2 linked regions of the Schizosaccharomyces pombe genome follow. The protein of the gene in region 1 binds, or shares a complex with, the protein of each later gene. Each region holds a gene or a part of one and is shown in the gene's direction. Other genes may lie near its edges.

The links. The genes of interacting proteins can lie anywhere in the genome.
Region 2: srb7 (region 1) and med1 share a complex: the UniProt entries of both Schizosaccharomyces pombe proteins name them as parts of the mediator complex.

Annotation. Positions count from the first base shown.
Region 1 is NC_003423.3:3,912,370-3,916,853, reverse strand, and holds srb7 (mediator complex subunit Med21), read left to right. Parts: upstream 1-3,215; 5' UTR 3,216-3,241; coding exon 3,242-3,283; intron 3,284-3,324; coding exon 3,325-3,418; exon of another isoform or gene 3,419-3,471; coding exon 3,472-3,501; exon of another isoform or gene 3,502-3,549; intron 3,550-3,553; coding exon 3,554-3,804; 3' UTR 3,805-3,984; downstream 3,985-4,484. Other genes in the region: importin alpha family nuclear import signal receptor adaptor Imp1, read right to left, coding at 1-228; exoribonuclease Rex4, read right to left, coding at 1,302-2,051, 2,126-2,158; atp17 (F0-ATPase subunit F), read left to right, coding at 4,345-4,398, 4,451-4,484. UniProt on the Schizosaccharomyces pombe protein: Component of the Mediator complex, a coactivator involved in the regulated transcription of nearly all RNA polymerase II-dependent genes.
Region 2 is NC_003424.3:535,949-541,333, forward strand, and holds med1 (mediator complex subunit Med1), read left to right. Parts: upstream 1-1,961; 5' UTR 1,962-2,446; coding exon 2,447-2,680; exon of another isoform or gene 2,681-2,726; coding exon 2,727-3,374; intron 3,375-3,416; coding exon 3,417-3,899; 3' UTR 3,900-4,064; downstream 4,065-5,385. Other genes in the region: DYRK family cell polarity protein kinase Pom1, read right to left, coding at 1-1,777; translation initiation factor Tif5, read right to left, coding at 4,177-5,364. UniProt on the Schizosaccharomyces pombe protein: Component of the Mediator complex, a coactivator involved in the regulated transcription of nearly all RNA polymerase II-dependent genes.

The DNA of each region.
Region 1 (4,484 bases):
TTTCATTTGTTGCTCCATTTGAACCTGAGACTGATCAGCCTCCTCTTCCACATCAATGTCATTTTGTAAAACAGCGTTTAAATTCCTTCGTTTATTCAAACTTTCCTCACGTTTTTGTTTGCGGATTTCAATTTGCTGTTCTTCACGTTGCCGACGAAGTTCATCAGCTTTGAAAACACCTTTGCTTTTAAAACGGCTTCTTCTATCTGATAAATATCTCGATTCCATTTCTATAGGAATAAACTTTTTTGATATCCTTTTTACTCTTTTTTTTTTAGTTATCTAAGACAGTTGTGGTTGCTGCGAGTTTAATGAGAATAAGGAGGTAAAAGAGCACTTGTGTCGTTCCAAGAAGCAGCCGGCACCCAGGTAACAATGTTCAAAAATAATAAATTTAGAATAATTTGAAATATATCATTTTCCGGTTCAAATCGTTGAAACTTTCTAGATCATTTTTGTTCTGTCATTGGAAACCTTCGCACCATAAAACGGGTAAAACAACATGCTTATTGAGCTCATCAACCAATTTTTCTTGGGTTTTTAACAAGCTGAATGCTATAACAAGAATTCAAAATTTAAAAACAAATGGAATTTTTCTTTAAACAACCTGTCAAGTTGGCCTATTTTTATTTTTATTTTGATTATATAATACATATAGTTGAGCAATTTAATCTTTGAATAAATACTTATTTTTCAAACACTTCCGTATCTGTTTTGTAAGCTATTAATATGTATACATTAATGGTCCATTGTCTAACTAGAATTTATTTGGTAGCTATTATTAATATATATATTTTTTATTTTTTTTGTGATAATAAAGATTAATTCGGTATTTATATAAATTTAGGAATTAACTTAACGGCGCTTGAAAACATATTATCGTCATTCAGTTAAAATGCTCTAAATCATATACACTATAGGAAGTAATCTAATTATATAACATTAACTTTATTAATTCACAAAGTAATTATGAAGACCATATAAACGAAGCTGATAAATCTCTATATCCTTGTTTTTTCCATACATTATTTCTTTCCTTCAGTTGTATGCATCATTTATTTATACTAAAAATTATTAATAGATTGACTATTTAAAACCAGAAACGAAGGAAACAGAAGAGATAAATAAAGAAAGAAAACCAACGATTTCATAAGAGCCAATGAAAACAATATTGCTGTTATAAGCAACCGAAAATATATTTAACATCTGACACATATCCAGTAAAATTATAAGAAACATTTTCTTGCATATTATTAAACCCAAATCCCAAATGACCAGAACGAAGTCTAGTGATTCAAAGCTTATGACTTTGACAAACCTTTGAATGCAACTTCATCCATTTCTTTTTTTACTTTCTTATATAATTCCATCGTTGCTTGGGCATCCTGGACGGAAGAATGCTGTCCAGATTGAATGTCACGCCCAAGAATCACTTCAGCAAGTTTTTTAAGCCCTGGTGTCCTTCCCTTGGCTAATTTCCGATACCCAGAAAATCTGCTGGTATCACGAATCATTCTTCTTGGATGCGATAAAAGTAGTACTTTGAGATCGTTATGGACAGCATGTCCAACCAATACTCGATTGTCGAGTATCTTAGCAACTTCTGCTTGTACTTTTTCAAATGAAGGTGCATCCCGCATGTGAAATGACTTGACACCACTGACCCATGTTCTCCAATCCGTAACCTTTTCTTTAGGACGGACATAAGTATCATACACGACATGACCATGATAATTAACTATACTGACGCGTGCAAGAACTGACATGTCATCTGCCACCCCAACCATTTCACAATCCATTGCAATATATTTCCCCAATGTTTCCAAATTGGTTTTTCTGGTAAGCTTGGAAGCATCCACGCCATATGCGTCAAGGACTTGAGATTCAGGGATATCATTTTCCTTAGCAAATTTCTTTAATTCATTCATGCGTTTTTTATCGACGATATAAGAATTCTCATTCTCATTGTTTTTACCTTTCACACTTTTAAGGTATTTCTTTTCATTAGAATGCTTTTTTTCAACCCGTCCACTCTTAGCGCTGTCGAGTTTCTAAACAACCAATACCGTTAGTATACTTAAACAAGAATCTTAAATGACTTAATGGAAACTATAGCCTTTCATACCTTCTTTAACTTTTCCCAATTGGAAGAAGACATTGCTTGTGCATAAGAGCCAAAGTTGGTGCAAGAAGCAATTTGCAACCTCTTTCAATATGATTCTCAACGCGGTATCACAAATATTTTATCACATTTTAGCACATTTCATTATTTTGAATAAAGCGTTGATGATAGTACGTTACGTTAAGTATCATTATATAAGTCACATGCCTTGTATTTATTTATCTATAGTATATATACATATATTGACAGTGATGCACCATTTGTTGCTTCTTGATGTAACTACTGCCAAATATACGAGACTATGAAATAAATTAACCTCCGTTCTTCGGGTCACCAATGAGCTATTTCAGTGTGTACCCACTTCGTAAGAATATTATAAGGTACCGGTGGTTAATGCATTTCCTAATAAAAGAATATTGTGAATATTCAAGACCCGTAGTAGCATATTCGTTAAACATTTAGTGATTTATGTTTGCTTAAAAGGATAGATTGTATTGAATTTGTAGCATTGTCCGCTATCTTTTTAAAAGCAGAGTACTGCAATTTTAATAACAATGCACCTTCACGTAATATGAAAACACTCAGAATGAATGGATTATCAAAAAGGTACTGAAAGGGGTGGGACTCGAACCCACGAGCTTTCGCACTAGTGCCTTAAACTAGCTCCATAACCACTCGGACACCCTTCCACGATCAAAAATATAATAAATATGTCGAATGTATTACTATTATCATTGTTTTTCTATGTTAATTAAAAATACTTAGCTGATTCTGTAGTTTCTGTAGTTTATTTTTTTTCGCTTTCCATTAATTTTTTTTTAAATTTTATGTACTGTTTTATGTTAAATTTCTTTTGCTTATGTCAAGCGTGATTCTAGCTTAATTCTTTTTCCCGATTGCTAGACAGTCGGTTTTTAGGTCGATACATTACAATTACAAACAATGTCATAAAATCAAAAGCTGTGCATAATAAATATCCGATGCTGAAATAACAGAAAAGTTAATTAGCGATTTATTGTTCTTGACATTTGCGCTTCAACAATTGTTACCTGCATCATGGACCTTCAACAACTTGCGACTTTCAACTCTTTTTAACTCATATTACACCTACATAAAAAAATGGCATGTAGGTGTACTCAGCTTCAAGATACAATTGATGAGGTAATGGGACTAGTTTTCTTTTTCTATTCTAACCTATGTAGGTTGCCACACAATTTTACTCTTCCATTCATTATTTAAGTTCTCATCATGATTTCGTTCCTTTACCTGGTCAAGAAAAGGTTTCTGATTCTAAAGGTATACAAGATTCATTATGATGCTATTCAAAGTAGCTACTAACAAATTATTAGTGAACCCAATTTCTGCTGAAGAGTTACAATGTACGATATTAGACGTCCTCTAGTCATTTTATGTGCTAACTTCTTTTTGTAGTCGCTCAAAGGGATCTAGCAAAAGACTTGGTTACAAAATTTATGCAAATAGACACTTTGATCAACCAACTTCCAGGTATTTCCACTGCACCAAAACATCAATTAGAGAAAATTAAAAAGTTACAAAACTCCATTGAAGAAAAACAATTGGAGAGGAAGAGTTTAGAATCAGAAAATGAAGATTTAAAATTACAATTGGCCAAGAGGATTGAAACATTTGGCCGGTTATCATGTGTCCTATTTCAGCCCTGATGATAATATGTAAGCAAAATATGCATACTAGCATACTCTTCTAGTTGCCAGATTTATTGAAGTTTTAAAATATCTTTGTCTGAGCTAAGAAAGAAGATGTGATCGCTGGAAGTGGGCTTATCATACGGGCAGCCTTAGATATACTGTTTTGACAAATGATTCCATTTTTATTAACGAGCTAATCTTTTTGAATCGATTTACATAAATATCTATCTACTTGTAGTTTTTAGAATGCCTTTACTTCATGCTGACGAGTACTTGACTGAAGTAACTAATTGTGAAAGCAGCTATGAAGTCTTAAAAAATAAACTAATAACAAACAGAATTTGAAAAGTAAAAAAATAGCAAATTAGCAAGGATAGTTTCTTATAGAAGAAAGAAAAAAATCCCTGATTTTTTAGAACGTTTAACGAAATTTACAAAACAATACGCTATTTTTGTTTAAGAAAAAAAAAATCCATTAACCATTCATTGCAAGTTCCTTTGCTATATACGACGGGAATTGAACATCACCATATTCACTTTAACTTAATTGTAATCATGGCTCCATTTCCTTTGAAATCGTTTATTCCCCCTCAAGTAGCGAATCCTACAGTAAGATTAATTAAAAAAGTGATAAATATAAACGAAAATCTAACTAAGATAGGCTTTGAATGCTTTTCCTAGCTCTGCTAGGATGG
Region 2 (5,385 bases), on another chromosome or scaffold:
CCTTACGATCAAACGGTTCTGACAACACATTTGAAGACGCAAAAGATAAGGAAGGCTGTAATGATTCACTCGTATCAGAACTCCTTTTAGGAGTATACGAAACACTTCGTTGCTGAGGTACATGTCCTTTATCTTTAAAGTTTGAAGGTAGTGGAGGAACTGAAGGAATTTCCTCGGGCTTCTCAGGTTCACGGGAAACCTGAGAACGCGTAATCGAAAGTCTTGGAACAGGGGGAGGTGATGCAGAATCACTATTACCGTTAGAGCTTCTTTCTTTGGATGGTTTGAACCAGTTAATAAATTGCTGCATCCGGCTTTTCGTTCTCGTAGGAGTTTTCTTTCCATTCCGGTAGCTAGATTTGGTAGAAGAATCAGCTATGTAAGCATGTGGTATTGCCGGTACGTCAGGGGCATCCTCGTGTTTAGCTTTACTTCCTTTCTTCATACGAGAAGAACTTCTCGAAAAACTCAATCTGCTAAAAAAGCCACCTCTTGAAGATCTACCTTCTTTGTTGGAAGATTTCTGTGATTTAGACTCATTTTGGACAGTATTCCCATGTTTAGCTTCATGGTTACGATGCCCATCAACGTTTGTCTTCTGAGAAACCGCTTTAGGAGCAGCTTTCGGATCAGGATTTCTACTGTCGGGATGAACTTGAGATGATGTAGTAGTATTATTGTGATTATCGGATGAAACAGGTTTGTTGTTATCGAAGACAGAGGGGGTAGCAAAAGAGTGTGATTTGGTTTGTGATCCTACATGTGAGTGATTATTTTTAACATTAGAAAGGGTTATTTGACTATGGGGGGAAAGTTCTTTGAAAAAAGAATTGGATGTCTTCAAAGGGGATTGGATTGTAGAAAGATTCTTCGATTCTGAACTTGATTTCGTAAGGGATCCAGATATATTTGCTTTAGGATGTTGGTGATCAGTGGAATGACCTATATTAGGAGGAATAGTTGGAACAGGAGGAATTCCAGACTTATTTCCAATAGAAGCTGCTCTGGGATGTGAAGTAGAATGGAAGTTAGTATGACGCCAACTACCGGATCTCTTTGGAGCCATTGAAGCATGGTATGCATGGTTCCCCGAGGAAAAAACGCTAGATTGTAAAGGAACGGATGATACATCTTGTGTAATAGATATAACCCCACTCAAATGCCCCCCATTATTTTGCTGATTCCAATCACTAGGCTTTGATGAACGATTATAATATGATAAGGAAGTTCCAAAACTCTTAGAGTTCGATATTGAAGATGTCCTATGATGTGAAGAAGTATTCAACGACGAAGGATTGTTCTGCTGAGATGACTCGAAATCGATTGGGTTATTACCAATACTTATGTTTGACAAACGGTGTATGGAATTCCTCGGACTGTTTTTCTGTCTATAATCGTGATCAAAACTACTTCGGAGTAAACCATTGCCAGTCGAGTGGTGTATAGTAATAGCATGATTATCCATAGATGAACCAACTCCCTTTGGTTCAACATTCATAAATAACTCATCTTTATGCTCTTGTTCCGGAAAAGAAATGTTCGTATTTGAGGCATTCGTCGAAGGACTCGTATCTGCTGCTGTACTGCTAGAACTCTGGCGGTTTGGACAAATATCGTTGGAATAACTACCAACGGCAGAAAGTTCAGATGGGTTTAATAGTTCAGATTTTATTCCGAACATGTTTGCGCTTTTCCGGTTTGATGTATGAAGTTTAAATAATGCATCCGTATTTTCGTCGCCCAGAGAAACCGCTTTTTGGGACTGCAAATAGCCCATTTGCAAACTTTGCTTCAAAAAGCCAAAATTCTCACTATATTACGCTTTTACTGGCTTTTTTGAAACAAAATATTGTTTCTATAAGCTCCCTCCTTCAGTTACAGTCTCTTATCTTCTTTAAAATGCAAACTAGTAGCAGTACGTTCGTGGCTAATTAAAGCCGCGCTACACCCTGCATATCAATACCAACCACTTCTGAAAGGGCACGCAAGCTGTAAATGAAACATAGAACGCTTATTGATTTGTGCACAAATTTTACCAAAAAGAAAATATTTTATTAAGATTTACTGCATATATATTTTGATGCTTTAAAAAGAGTTTGAGTGAACATACTTTGGGTTTTTTTTAGTCCAAGGTTTAAAATTGGTTTTCATTTGTATACATATAAAATTCCCCATAACTACTGTTTTAACCCTCGTTATAAAGATAAATCAATCACACAGACCTTCCCATTGAAACTAAGTTTTAGGCGGTTCAAAATTACCTACTTGTTTTTGCAATTAATGCGTTTCTAGCAAATAGTTTGATGGCAGTAAAGGCTTCCTTTTTGCAGAACAAATTAAATTGCTCGCTGAACAGACATAAAATTGCGCTTATATACAGTGTTTTAAGCTGATTAAATACGAAATACACGACTAATTTACTAAATCTTCTTTAATAATCTTTTCGATGGATAGACCACATCTCTTTTCTGAAGTTCATTTCCGTCGAAACGCCTCTAACCCCAATCAGATTAACTGGACGCGTTATTGGATTGATTGTCTATCATCAGTTCCTTGGAATGATATCTCTGTAACTGGATTTGAATATTTGGCTAAAAAGTATGGTCTGGAGGTTTTTCAAGACTCCTCCAAACCCAATGAAGTGGTCCTCAGTTTAGCTGGAAAAATAATTTTGATCGACGTAAGTTTAAATCCTGTACATAACCGTTTTACTAATTAGTATCTAGATCACTGTTCCCATAAATGCGTCTCCAAAAGATATCAACGTTGTTTTGGCTTTTGCAAACGCTAGTGGTGAGCAATATAATAATCCTGTTGCAGAAAAATTACTTAAGGATGCAATTTACAATTGCAATACCCCACTATTTGAAAAGAATGTCAAATGGTTGGCTACCTTTGATCACTCCTCTCCTTCGGTCCAACAAAGTTGTTTCCAATATTTAGACTCACTATCCTCTTCTTTAAATGCTATTTATGAAGCAGAATTATCTTTGCTAGCACAAGAAGAAAATGTTATAATGCATGGAAACGGAAAGCCTCTCAGTAATTACGAAGGACAACTTGGTTTGCGTATTGTATACTGGAAGCTTTTGGATAAAACCTATAGCACTCAAATTTTTATGGATAATTTGTCTCATGAGTCGCTACCTCACTTGTTATTCGGATATAATTTATTAAATTCTCCTCCTATCCTCCAATCATCAAAAATTAATTGGGCACTTGAAAATACTTTGACACCTATTCCTACAACAATGGAACTAGTTTTTGATGATATCAATTTAATAATACCAGAGCAGGGCGTCAAACCTTTACTTGATTTGCTTCATGTCCATGACATTACCATTCCTTGGCCTGTCCAAAATTATAGTCATATGGTAAGTACTTTCCCTAAATATCAACTTAACTAATTTCACCAGCTTGGTTTACCTTCAAAATCAACCGTGAACTACAAATTCATTAATAAAAATCAAGCCATCCAGCTAACAGGGTTCGATGTTTCCGCACGTTCTTTGCGTCACGTACCGTTTCATCATCCCAAGCAAATTCGAGGAATACTTGCTATTGTACGCCAATATTTATTATTACAATTGATTTTGGAAAATATCAAATCAGCAGATTTAGCAGAGACTGCGGCATCTTCCTCCCTTCACCTCTCTCTATATTTTAAGGAGCATCCGATCGTTCATGCCCAATATCAAGAAATCAACAAACTGAATAATTCCGAACAAATTATCATTGTTCTATCCGTATTGTCAGATGGAAGACTGAATGTTGATTATATGTCTAGTGGTGGCAAAGAATTGTCAAAACAACAGTCTCATGTTTTTCAAAAACTTATACAACAAACATGTAACATCGGACTTGCGATAGAAGTGTTTATAAAGAAAGTCGTTAATTAGAATTTCATGCTAGAAAAAGACATTACTAATCAGTTTTAAAAATCTTTAGTAAAATGAAATTATGGAATTAGTTGGATGTTTTGAATAGTATAAATTGAACACTTTAAAAGGCTAGCCTATTTTACAAAAATCAGAACACTTTAATAGATATATTCAACTTACGAGAAACTAATTTGCTAAAACTTGAAAGAATCAGCTTAATATTTTAGAGAACAGGATTGTAAGTTATTCAATTCTCAAAGCACAAATTGTGGTAGAGAGTAAAAAGAGGCCGTTCTTATTCGTCGTCGTCTTCTTCTTCTTCCTCCTCATCTTCACTCTCAGATTCGTCACTTGCTTCAGCCAACCATGTCAAAAAAGGTTCAGCAGCTTCATGAATCTTCTTACTAGTTTCACGGCTCACATATTTCTTGCTAGCCTTTGCTCCCCATTTCTCAAACATGTCATCAGAGACCAAGTCATTCTGATAAATCTCCAAGAGTACCTTGGGAACAACGTCGATGTGCACTAATTCAGTGTTTTCCATCAAACGTTCAAACCCACCAAGAAGAGCACGTTCATGTTTATCTGTCGTGCAAAGCTTTTTAAACAATGCACCATGCTTTTCAAACTCCCCAACGTAAGGCGAAGTAATAATACATTGAACTAGTACAACAATAGCTTTACTTTTATGATGAATATTCTCTTCCTTCATCTTTTTGTAAATTTCAACATCAGAAACACCAGGGTAGTTGTCTTCAAGCCATTCACCGAATTGATCATAACGGCTAGATTCCGCTTCTTCCTCGTCGCCACGTAAGTCACTCAAAGTGAGCGAATCTTTCATATTACCTTCTAACTCTTGAACACGAGCACGAACAGCTTCTTCACTGGTATCCACAGCCCAATCTTCGTCATTTACGACCTCAGCGGTAGGGAGTTCCGCGGCTTCTTGACGAATTCTACGAGTGAGTTCGTCTTCAGCACCATCTTCTTCCTCTGCAACAGGAGAATCCCTTTTATGTTTGTGGGACTTCTTTTTTGCAGGAGGGTTCTTGACGATGACACCAGTAAGCTTGTGACGACCGTCAATGACACCACGATAGCCACAAGCTTTACAATCATAGGAAATTGTCTGATCCTTCTTATTAATGCTTAATTCAGTTTCCGGATTTTGACAAGAAGCGCATAGCACAAAACGGCGGATAAATACATCCAACAGATCTTGAAGCTTTCCAGCATCATGAGCACCGTTCACAATGTAACGGTCCATGTCAGCAATAATGGTGGTTTGGGCGCCCAACTCAAAACCAAAAAATTTAGTTACATACAAAGGGGGTCTTCCCAACGCCTTAGCGATATCGGACATGTTCGGGATTACAGTCTTTATACCATTTCCCTTGCCTTCGATTTTAGATTGCAGTTTTGGCATTCTATAACGATAGAAGCTATCTTTGACATCACGTCGGATGTTAATGGTTGCCATTGTTATTACAGTCTCGATGAT